Linked DNA regions of Coturnix japonica. The protein of the gene in region 1 purifies or fractionates together with the protein of each later gene. This does not show direct contact. Links are inferred from orthologs where the notes say so. Each region holds a gene or a part of one and is shown on either strand. Other genes may lie near its edges. The genes, in order: IFT140, IFT122 and WDR19.

Region 1 (4,372 bases):
ATTCAATAAGACAAATTAAGGAGGGTCTCAATGAACAAAACACAAGAGCAAGACGAAAACCATCTTCCCAAGTTCAGTAGCACACTTCTATTTCACCTTTAAATGTGCACATTTGATCACTGAGGCATTAAAGGAGAAAAAAAGCTGATTCATTTCTGAATGAAGGAAATAAAAGAGATTAAATATTGCAACTCTACTTTGTTGTTCGATGCACACCTTCATGAGCTCCTTGGCATCTCCCTCGAGAGTAATTGTATGCAAGGACAGCAGCAGGTTCTCTGTTATCACAACTAACGCATCTTTTTTCTCCATGAACAGAAGCTTCTGTACACGGTTGTCGGCTGACAATACGTGGTTTGTCTTTCCTTTCTCATTCACGTAGTGCACAGAACCTGTAGTACACATAAACAAGTCACACAGCTCTTAGTTAACAGCTCTTGTAGCCACAGAAATCAAATATGCTCCTTGTTCCTTCAATGAAATAGTCCTCGAGTGCTAAAAGAAAAAGGGCCACAACTGCTGCCTCACAGTTTGTCTCTGGCTGTGGACAATTACAGCAGCTTTTGCTGTCACTCATCTGGAAAATCCAAATGCAAACAACTCAAGTTGTTTCTGTGGTGTTGTAAACACCACAAATATTTCTCAATTAAAAGTACACTTTCTGCATACATGTGCAGGTATGCAAAGGGCAAACGATGGCTTTTAAAATCCTCAGTGCCCCCACTTGCAGGACTCCCAGTCCGTCTCTAGATGGGGATGTCTACCAACAGATGCTCCCTTTCAAAGCTGCTACTGACAGGAAGTACCCATAAAATAGAATGGCTTTGGAAGGCGCAAATAGTACCAAAGACCTGTGGCCTACTTCTACCTTGGGGGAGATTATTAGTTTAGAGATTATTATGGAACTGATGAAATGTGAGTCGAACCTTCCCTGGTCCAAGCAACCATGTGCCTCCAGAAGAACCATTGAGTACTGGCCCACAAAGGAACATGAATTTCAGCCACAACCCAATTATCAGCCGTATCATATTTTGTCCATCTACGCCATTACGGGCAAACTGTACAAAGTGTTGTGGTGTACTGGATCACCATAATGGAAAGGGCTTACCTTTAACCTGCTCAGTCATTGGTTCACACTATGAAGGGGTGGAATGTAGCAGAAATGCTGTCATTAGACTGTTTTGAACCACTAATAGGCGAGTTTACAGCAGCTGAGAAAAGTGGTTTTGCTCTCACCGTCAGTCAAGGTGATAAAGAAGGACAGTCCTTCCTGGAGTCCCATTTTCAGAGGTGCTTCTGTTCCAGCTTTTCTCCAGTTAAACATATCCAAGGCTTTCTCATCACCGCTCACAGCAGCTTTTGCCAGCTGTAGGAAGTCTCTGCAAACAAGAGATACTTCATTTCCAACTCCCTACATAACTGAGTGCATTCCGTCCTAAAGAAAGGAATGAATACTTCATAGTATTGTAAAGAGAGAAGAAAGATGTTTCATACGCTGGTTGGAAACCAACTAACCCCCAAAAGATATAAAGCTCATTTAGTACCAGTTTTCACTTGTATTGCTTCACCCTTTTTTCCCCCCTTTAAAGAGATACGTGAAACAAAGAAATGCCCCAGACTGAACACAGCACTCGAGGTGAGGCCTCATCAATGCTGAGTACAGGGCAGGATGACTTCCCTGGTCCTGCTCACTGATACAGGCCAGGATGTCCTCATCGAGATCATTAAGAAAGATGTGAAATAGAAATGGTCTGTGAAAAGGTTTTTCTTTCTGTGGCACAAGTGAGAGCTGATCCGCCTGCACTCGGGCAGGACGCAGCACTTACTCTCCAGGAGGGGGTGGTCGGAAGATGCAGTGTGACACACATTGTCCATACTCATGTTTCAGCAAGGGAGGGCCTTGCACTCGACCTCGCTGATCCATTCTCCATAGAAACAAGATGCCGTGCTAAAAAAAAAGGCAAATTGAAAGAACTGTAGAAAAGTTAAAACAATTACATTTGTTTCCTCCCTGACCTTTTCAATTTGTACCTAAAGCAAGGAAATGAATCCCCCCCCGGCTCCTACAGCTATTCCATCCCATAGCGATCCATCCATGACCCTTCCCATCACGAGGTGTGTGTTGTATTCCAGACCCAAGGTCTGACACTGGAGCTGCTCACCCCATCCCCAGACACCAGGCGGGATCCGCTGCTGCTCCAGTTCAGGACGGTGATCCTGGCGCTGTGGTTTGTCGGCGCAGCGTGAAGCTCCTTGTCGTGTTTGTTAAGTACAACAACTTCTCCATTGTCCCACCCAGCCGCCAGGATCAGCCTGCAGGGCTGCCAGGACAGCGACGTGACCTGGGAGCTCCTCTCGATGTGAGCGTCAGGAACGTGTTCTCCCTGCAAACAGCAGCAAGGTGCAGGATCAGCACAAGGATGAAGATACACCTTCACTTTTACTCAAAGCATGTGGCCATCCTATTGCTAAGCCTAACAAGCAGCTGAGCATCACCAGGAACACTTGGAACTGCAGATGAATGAAATGCAGAAGCTCAGTTTCAAAGCAGCAAAGCTATGAAACTCACCTGCTCCAGGTAGATGTCCACGCAGCCTCCCGATGCTGTGCTGATAGAAGCGACTGCCAGGAGGGGCTGAACGGAGTGCCACGATATAACACAAGGGGACGCGACTGAATCCGGAGCCTCCGTTCGGTGATCCACGTACACGGCCATGGCAGGAGCCGCCACCGACTGCGAGTTTGCACGAGGGATTGAACGGGGAAGGAGGAAAAAACGGGGACACAAATAGGACGATGGTCCCGTAACGCGGAACGAGGAGCGCTCCCACCCGCCGCTCGGCGCTGCGGGGACAAGGCCCGGCCGCGGTTCGATGCTCCGCGTTACCCCGGGCAACGGGGCGGGGCACAGAGCGGAAACTCCCGGAGCGAAACCGAAGAGCGACGGAAACGGCCGGGACGGAGCGGGGGGGGAGAACCGAGCTGAGCCGGTGTGAGCGGGGTGAGGGGCTGCACAGCGTGTACAGGGTTAACGGGGCATTGTACAGTGTGTATTGACACCGGGATGTACAGGGTTAACGGGACATTGCACAGCGTGTATTGACACCGGGATGTACAGGGTTAACGGGACATTGTACAGTGTGTATTGATACCGGGATGGACGGGGATAACGGGACATTGCCCAGCACGTCCCCAGCCGTGCAGACAGAGGCTGGTTGCGGTCACACGGTGCATCCCATCACTCCATCCCTTCCCCTTATGGCCTGACCGCGGCTGCTGGGAATAGAGCTGTGCCATTAGGGCTCCCTGTTGGTGAGAAGATGAACAGCAGCTTTGGTGTGAATCCTCGGACCTGGGTGGGGAAGCACTGCGTTAGGAACACCCCAATTGTCCAGCCCTGTGTGCAGATCCTCACTTGGAGGGTCCTTTAAGGCCGGCTGTGCTCATAACGCTGATATAAGTTATAGGTTATTGAACTCTGTGTGAGGCGATGGGGCTCCATACAGTTATTGACGAACATGGAGAACGTTGATGCCGCACTGTTTAATGCACATTTCTGCGCTACAGCTGGGAATGGTGGGGGCGATCAAATAAAAGCCCCGTAAGATCAGCAGGTCCAACCAGCAGCCCGGGATACTGGGAGTCCTGGAAGCGACCGACCTTCGCAAAGGGCCGCAGGGCTGTCAGTCAGCTCATGTCCTTCATTGCAGCGCTAATGAACGAGCTCATTAAGGCCGTTAATTACAGGAACAGCCCGGCATCGGGCAGCAATACAACCCCGCCAGCCAATGGCATTCGAGAGCGTGCCCAAGAGCTCCAATGATAGAGCTCTCCATTGGTTCCCTTCTAGCCAATCAACAGCCAGATCTCGACGATCGTCCCGCCCCCTGTCGGACGCCGGCTGCCGCCTCTTCCTGTACGTGCAGATGACGTCACCCGCCCCGCGCCGCGCTCTCATTGGTCCGCGTCCGGCCCGAGTCCCCGCCCCCCGCCTCGTTCCCGCGTGCCGTCAGCCAATGGGACGCTTTGTTTGGGGTCGCGGGAAGGGGCGTGTCGTGGCGCGCCCAGCGGAGCCCGCGCTGTGCGCCCCGCCCCCACGGCCCGGAGCGACTGACGAGGAAGCGGAGCCGGGCGGACACAGCGCGGCACCGGGAACGGCCCGGCCCGGACACAGCGCGGCCATAGGGGCGGCCCGGCCCGGCCCGGCCCGGCCCGGCGGTGCGGGGCTGCGGCTCCGGCCGGGGCTGCGGGGGACACGGGGCCGACAGGGCGCCGCTCCCGCCGGGAAGCGCTGCCGCCGCCGGCAGCGTCGTTAGGGCCGCTGGAGGCCGCGGGGGTCGCGGGGCGATCCGGCCTCCAACCCGAGCTGGAG
Region 2 (3,649 bases), on another chromosome or scaffold:
ATGGAGTTGATTTAAATCAGGAGGCAATTGTTATCTTTATTGCACTTTATTTCATTCCTTTATTGTGTTTATGCCAAGTGAGAAGTCAGAATCTAACTTTACACTGGCTTCTGAAGTTCACTGAAAGAGAAGCTGTTAATGAGTGCTACAAGGATATAATAAATAATATAATCTTCTAAAACATTCAACATTACTGACTAGAACTAATTTGAACTTACTGTAGTTTTAAATGCAGGTGCAATCTGCAGTGTTTAGAGATTGCAATTGCTTGAAAACAGATCTAATGATTGTTGTGCTTTTGCTCTTTCCTATATTAAAGAACAACAAAAACACCGGAGGTGTACAAGACATAGCAGCTCAAGAGCCCCCAAGACAGTGCAAAAGCCACAAAACACCTACAGCTGCATCTCATGTTCCATTAGTGTTGCTGCTTTCAAGTAGAAAATACCAGTGTATAATCCCTTCATACTGCCCTGGATAGATGATTTGATATTGTCTGAATAGACTGCTCTTAATTTAAAAACATTAATTTCAGCTAATTGATATAATTGCCCTGTAAAATCCTCTTTGTTTTGTCTTTGTAGCATTCCACAAGGCTGGCAGGCAGAGAGAAGCTGTGAGAGTGCTGGAGCAGCTAACACACAATGCTGTGGTTGAAAGCCGATTTAACGACGCAGCCTATTATTATTGGATGCTTTCCATGCAGTGTTTAGATATAGCCCAAGGTAAGTAACTGAAAGGCTTATATTTTTACCTTCTTGTGCATGTAGGCAGACAATTGCTAAACTGTGATAGCATTGCTGCAGCTCCTTCACTATTTTTTTTCTTTTATACTGTGCATAGTTTTGGCATACGCTATTTTTGTCTACTGGTTTTCCCATGCTCTTATGTAAAACAGATGAGCAAAACAACAACAGCAGTGTGCGTAGGCCTTGTTTTGAAATCTGGCTGGAATCAAAATAGTGCATCCTTGGGAGCCTGTGTCCTTGTGTAGCTTCCCTCAACACGCTGCAGGTAGAGCAGTGACTGAGGGGTCCACGTACTGGTATCTGCAAGGTGGTTCTGGAGCATAAGATCTGCTTAGTACTTGAATGTAGGTAGGGGAGGTACTTTACAAATTGTTTCTGCCAACAAATACAAAACTGTGAGCTATCATCTTGTCTTCTGAGTGTATTTCTCTGGAAGAGAGGTAGAGCTAGTGCTTAGGAGAACTAATTTGCCAATGAATACCAGGGTTGATAGTACTGTGTTTTGCTCAGTGCTTTAAGTGCCTTTTTATTAGTTCACCTGAGAGTGCTGATATGTTGCCTCTGAGGTATTGTGTGGAGATGCAAACTGTTCCAGTTTTTTTAGTAGTGTGTTTAATATCCATGAAATGTTTCAAAACTCATTTTATTTGTAAATTCTGAAGGTATGAATGAGCTTTACAGAGATGCACAGCTGCTCTTTTCTCCCTTTACCTAACCTGTAGCCTCTAGCTATATTAAAGCCATTACCACTCATATTTGAGCATGCTTTTTTTTGAAGTAGAAACTTGCTCCCAGAAGTAGCAAGACTGTATAACCTGTGTTTTGCACAGGTAGATGGGGGACACTTGGGCTGGTGTGTACTTCATTTGGGAGTATCACTGTATGTTGTTTTCTTCACACTGAGTCTCAAAGGTTTACCTGGGGGGGCTTACACTAATGCCTTTCTCTCCGCAGAGAATGAAGAACAGCAGACTGAAATGTTGCAGAAGTTTCATCACTTCCAGCAATTGGCAGAAATCTACCATGTCTATCACTATATTCAAAGATACACTGTAAGATATTTACTTTAGAAGTTGTGTGTGTATTCCTGAATGTTTTTCTTTCAGAAGTCCAGAGATAAAGAAACATTTAATGACTTCACACAATTAAATAGAGTGTAGATTAGTGATACTGTATAGCAACATTTCTCTGCTTTCTGTTGTACTGCAGAAGAACTTCTCTTGTCGTAGTTCTTAAAAAGTGCCGTGCCATTTTAGCAGATGTGTGTTTGTCTCACTGTGTACATAGAGAATATGAGCATGGCTGACTCTCCACCCCCAGTACTTTCTTTGCTGGCTGTGTTGATTGGTTCCAGCACCCCGGATCTCAGGTCCTTTACAGGTTGCAGTGGGTTCTTCCTTTAATTGGGGAAAGCAGGTTTATACAGAAGACACCCTCATTCAGAGATTCCCACAGCATGTTACCTCTTATCAGTGGTGATATATGTAAACTTCTCCAAAAGATGTGCAGTCTTGAGAGGAGAGCTCCTGCTGCTCCCAGCAATTATAGTAATGTTCCTACAACTGTTGGTGAAAATATCTTCTGTGGAACATATGAGAAGCCTCTAATCTATGCCCTTGCCCAAAAGACGACTCTGTGCAACCAAGGTCTCTGCTAGTCAGGCTATGTCAGACCTTTCAGTGGTGGAGGCTGCCCACTGTTCATGCCTTGCTTTTATATAGCCTGGTAAGGATTCTATTTTAGCTGTGTGGATCCCTTTCTGTCTTTTTCTGTGTGTAACAGGCATGAACTTTGGTGTTTAACATGTGAAATCCGCTTGGTGTGTTCTGTCAGCATCTGCTCTTTTAGCAACTGCATGAACTGCATGACAATACTTGGGATGCCTGGTATTGTGATGTGTAGTGATGTGAATTGTCTTAGAAATGTCTCTATTTTTAATTCCACAGGAGGAACCTTTCAGTTTCCACTTGCCTGAAACACTCTTCAATATTTCCAGGTTTCTGCTTCACAGCTTAACAAAGGAGACTCCCTTGGGGATCTCAAAAGTGTATCCTTCCAACACTGCACAGAATCTAGAGGCTGAGGTACACTAAAAGAGTAATTGATGTTGAGCCACAGTGCAGAGATCTACTTTGGGTTATGTTCAGTTTCAGCTGTGGGTTGTAGCTAATTGAATTCGATTTATGCCCCTAGGGAAATAATCAGCACCTTCAAACCATTGTTTTTAACTGCACTGTCTTCTTTTTTTTTTTCCTTATCGTCTTGGAGAGCTGAACAAATCAACATGTAATTCTCAGCCACCCACCCAGCATGATGTGTGACTTTGTCAAGGAGTATTAGTCATCCCAACAGGATGCTGGATCTGAATCTTGACAACCTTGAGCTCAGATGGGAGCAGGGGGAAAAAACAGCCACTTTTGCTCCATCTGAGGCTGTTATAGCTGTGCAGTGTCTCTCAACCTACCATTTGCACAACTTTGTGAGTGCATGTTGCATCTTTTGGAAGTAGAATCATAGAATCCTTAGAGTTGGAAAGGATTTCTGAAGGCCATCTAGTTCAACCCCCCCTGCAGTGAATGAGGAAATCCACAGCTAGATCAGGTTACCTCATACAAGGCCTGTGCGAACGCTGCAGAAATGCATCTGTCCATAAAAGACAACAGAAAGGGTCACTGACTGACAAAGGGAAGGCAGTTTTTCTTCCGTTACGGCTCTGGATGGGATGTTTGCTTTCCTATTAGTAACTTCCTCACTTACATATACTTCCAAAATGTCTTTCCTAACGTGTGTTGTTAGGGTTGTGATTGGTAGCGTTCAGAACAGCAGTTACTGTTACATGCTAATGAAAGAGACAGCCCTTGGTCACTGACATGGAGCTGGTGCTGCATTCTTCTTACTAG
Region 3 (3,649 bases), on another chromosome or scaffold:
GGCACATTATGAGAAGGGAATCACTGGGGACAGTAAGGTATTTCATTTCTGATATTGATAGCGTGCATAGTATCATACACTGCGCTTTTAAGTGTTTTGTTTCAGACTGATTTGAATTCAGTTTTTTTATTTCAACACTAAATCTACACTACATTATTTTTAATAACCAGAATGATGCTTTCTCTACTCGTAAAACATTATTGCCATTGTATTTGAGTAGCGTAACAAGCCTTAGCTTGAGCATTTCCATAGTAGGTATGCAAACAGTGTTGCTAGGATTTCATTGTTAAAGCAAAAATCTTCATTATTCCTTTGCTTATTCTTTGCTGAATTTTTATCTGCGTAAAGACAGACTGGGATTGCATTACAAAGTAGGCATCTTATTCAATAGATATTCCCTTTCTCTGGCATTATTTTCCCTAATATTTGCAAAATACTGTGAAACAGCTCAAATAATAATAGGGGAATTTAATAGAGAAAATAGCAGATTCATTTGCCTTCATAAATTGTCAGTGGCCTTACCATCTTTGGGAAAAACAAAACAAAAAAACACCAAAAACATTAAGACAAAAAGAGATTACAAGCATTTTTTTTTTTTTTTTTTTCTACTATTGGCTTAGAAGGAAAGAATGGAGTAGCACTGAGCCATCTGTAATAATATCTTTTCTGTGTGCTTGGCCAGGACAGATCTTGGGAGTAAAATACACAAATAAAAGACAAAAGGGTAAGGAAAAAAAATATAAACAGAGTTTTTCTTAACTACTTAAAAAAATAGCTGAAGCTAAGCAAGAATTTCTGGACAGAAATTGATTGCACCAAGTCAATATAATGTTTTGTTATTTTAAATCAGTGTTTTGTTACCGTGGCTTTTATGAGCTGCAGTTTCTGATACTTACTGTCTCTGCTTTCCATTTTGTTGCTAGTTCCAGGAACACGATGAAGCTTGCCTTGCTGGAGTGGCTCAGATGTCCATTCGAATGGGAGATATCCGTCAGGGCGTAAACCAGGCCATTAAGCATCCCAGTAGGTTACTAAAAAGAGACTGTGGAGCTATTCTGGAGAGTATGAAGGTACTCAAGCAAGTTAATAAATCCTAAGGTTGAATATGTGAATACAGTAAGATACTTATTCGTAATCATAATTTACAACTGATATTACAATGATTGTCAATATTACAGCAATTTTCAGAAGCTGCACAGCTGTATGAGAAGGGACAATATTATGACAAGGCAGCATCAGTTTACATCCGATGTAAAAACTGGTAAGTACAGATTGCAGGGTGTTCTATGTGTTGAAGAAGAGATTGTTTCAGTGTGATGTGGTGCTCTTAGGAAAGGAACAGGTCTGCAAATGTCTCTCTGCTTTTGTGGTTCCTCTTCCCAGGCTCGAACAAGAACAGCATTCACCTCTTAGAAGCTTATGTTGGTTTAAATAGCTGAACAATAATAGCTGTTGGTTTAAATAGATGAATTGGAGACAAAAAGTGGCACTTCTTATGCTCATACATCTCAAATGAAGAAGATTCTGTGTTCTTTAAGCCCATTTGTTCATGAAGCAGTCTCTTACTTCTCATTCTGTTTCCAAATATTAAGCACAACTCTTTAAACATTTTAAAGTGCTTTCAAAGCTTACACATTATGTTAAAAAACATTTTTTTAACGTTCTCTTCAGTATTGATATAAATATGCCTGTTCTACCAGGGAAAATTGGAAACCAGAAGTATTTCTTCACCGTGTCTTGTCTTTCCAGGGCAAAGGTTGGTGAACTTCTTCCTCATGTTTCATCTCCAAAGATTCATCTACAATACGCAAAGGCCAAAGAAGCAGACGGCAGGTGTGTTTGCCTCTTTATCTGTATTTATAAATACATCTTAATAGCTGCCCTTGCAAGGCACTGAATAAAGTGTAATTATTGACTAAAATGACGAAGACCAAATCAGGCCTTTATCATTTCAGCCCATAGTCACAAAATTTTAATCACAAAGTTTACTTTTCTGCTTGTCACTATCTGTAGGGAAATGCACTTCAGAGTAGCTTATAAGATGAGACAACCAAGCCTAAATGCATGGATTGGTGAGAGTAGAAAATATTATTAGTGTTAATTGCATAGTGCAAGAATGAGAAATTTCTTCAACTCATTTACAGAACAGAAAATAGTCTCATTTTAGAAACTCTGCTACTAGTTATCTGTTAGGATTTATTGTTCTCTCACTCCCAACTGATTTAATGTGGAGCTGACAGAACAAATGAACTGCTTCTAAGGTACACGAAAGTGGATGCTTGACAGAGTAAGTTAAACATACTTCTGTGGTTTTCTGTTGTCTCATCAAGAAATGTCCTCCAAAGAGAACATAATGTGGAGAGAAAAGAGGTTAGTAAATATGAAACAAGCTTTTTAATGCAAACTGAAAAGTTGTCACACAAAAACCTCTAAGAAGTAAAATACTTTATGTTTCTTTCATACCATACTGAAAAGAGTTATTTAAAAATTAGAAAAACTGTTGTGGAGCTGTAATTTTTCAGGTACAAGGAAGCCGTGGTAGCTTACGAGAATGCAAAACAGTGGGACAGTGTAATCCGACTGTGTTTGGATCACCTTAATAATCCTGAAAGGGCCGTTAATATTGTGAGAGAAACCCAGTCTCTTGATGGAGCAAAGATGGTGGCCAGGTAATAATAATACATTAAGGAGTTAATCACTTTGAGAGCTGTTAACTGTTTCTTCTGCATTGTTGCTGGAGGATAAAATTGTGCTCAGAACAGTAAATCAATTTTATTTGTTTAAGAAATCCTATAAGCTTGTAGAATATATCATATTGCCTTGAATACATTCTTAATACATCCCGTAACTTACCTCAATCTAACATTGGCTTCTTATTCTACTGAAGTAATGTATCACCCTTCAATCATGATTGCATTGTCTAAGCTAGTGATTTTCTAGGTGCAGCTATGGAGAGCACAGTAGAATTAATTGTTATATACAGTTTTCATATTAACTTCTTTCAGGAAGAATATTCTTGTATATTAGTATTGTATATTAGTATTGTATATTAGTATTGTATATTAGTATTTTTATTGAACTTACAGCTTATGAGATGAGCAGTTAGAGTTTTAAAAGCATGGAAGAGGTCATACCTGGTGGAAGTTGGTGAGGCATGCTAGAGTATCAGACTCTGTTAGTAGTGCTTGGTTAATAACTACATATTTCAGTTTAGTGATTGGAGTTCTTTAAAATTTGGACAACTAAGCAGATACTGCTTTATTTATTTTAACTCTTCAATTGAAAATTACATTAGTGTGAAGTAATGAGATTAGACAATAATCAAAGTTTGCCATGCTGCGTTATTCATAATAAGTTATTTTTAGTAACCTATTTAAAAGATGAAACATGTAGATACAAAATAAATCAGAAATATATCATCCTTGCATGCTACAAAATACAGTATGTTTCTTAATGTTTGGAGCATTCCTTGTGTTACCTAACTAAGGCATTGATCTGTTCATTCCGACTAGATTTTTCCTGCAGCTCGGTGACTATGGTTCTGCCATCCAGTTCCTGGTCATGTCCAAATGCAATAATGAAGCTTTCACATTAGCTCAACAGCACAACAAGATGGAGATTTATGCTGATATCATCAGTGAGTATTCCA

What was found.
Region 2: the proteins of IFT140 (region 1) and IFT122 purify together in Homo sapiens (affinity purification with mass spectrometry; 4 studies listed by BioGRID and IntAct, counting the BioPlex papers as one, with this or other methods). This does not show direct contact. The link is inferred for Coturnix japonica from reciprocal best matches to the Homo sapiens genes IFT140 and IFT122.
Region 3: the proteins of IFT140 (region 1) and WDR19 purify together in Homo sapiens (co-immunoprecipitation; 3 studies listed by BioGRID and IntAct, with this or other methods). This does not show direct contact. The link is inferred for Coturnix japonica from reciprocal best matches to the Homo sapiens genes IFT140 and WDR19.

What each region holds. Positions count from the first base shown.
Region 1 is NC_029529.1:11,954,983-11,959,354, reverse strand, and holds the start of IFT140 (intraflagellar transport protein 140 homolog), read right to left. Parts: upstream 2,911-4,372; 5' UTR 2,717-2,910; coding exon 2,570-2,716; intron 2,385-2,569; coding exon 2,163-2,384; intron 1,949-2,162; coding exon 1,827-1,948; intron 1,380-1,826; coding exon 1,237-1,379; intron 393-1,236; coding exon 217-392; intron 1-216. UniProt on the Homo sapiens protein: Component of the IFT complex A (IFT-A), a complex required for retrograde ciliary transport and entry into cilia of G protein-coupled receptors (GPCRs).
Region 2 is NC_029527.1:16,827,698-16,831,346, forward strand, and holds part of IFT122 (intraflagellar transport protein 122 homolog), read left to right. Parts: intron 1-584; coding exon 585-725; intron 726-1,703; coding exon 1,704-1,801; intron 1,802-2,695; coding exon 2,696-2,796; intron 2,797-3,649. UniProt on the Homo sapiens protein: As a component of the IFT complex A (IFT-A), a complex required for retrograde ciliary transport and entry into cilia of G protein-coupled receptors (GPCRs), it is required in ciliogenesis and ciliary protein trafficking.
Region 3 is NC_029519.1:62,630,981-62,634,629, reverse strand, and holds part of WDR19 (WD repeat-containing protein 19), read left to right. Parts: coding exon 1-37; intron 38-923; coding exon 924-1,070; intron 1,071-1,178; coding exon 1,179-1,261; intron 1,262-1,749; coding exon 1,750-1,833; intron 1,834-2,522; coding exon 2,523-2,669; intron 2,670-3,512; coding exon 3,513-3,637; intron 3,638-3,649. UniProt on the Homo sapiens protein: As component of the IFT complex A (IFT-A), a complex required for retrograde ciliary transport and entry into cilia of G protein-coupled receptors (GPCRs), it is involved in cilia function and/or assembly.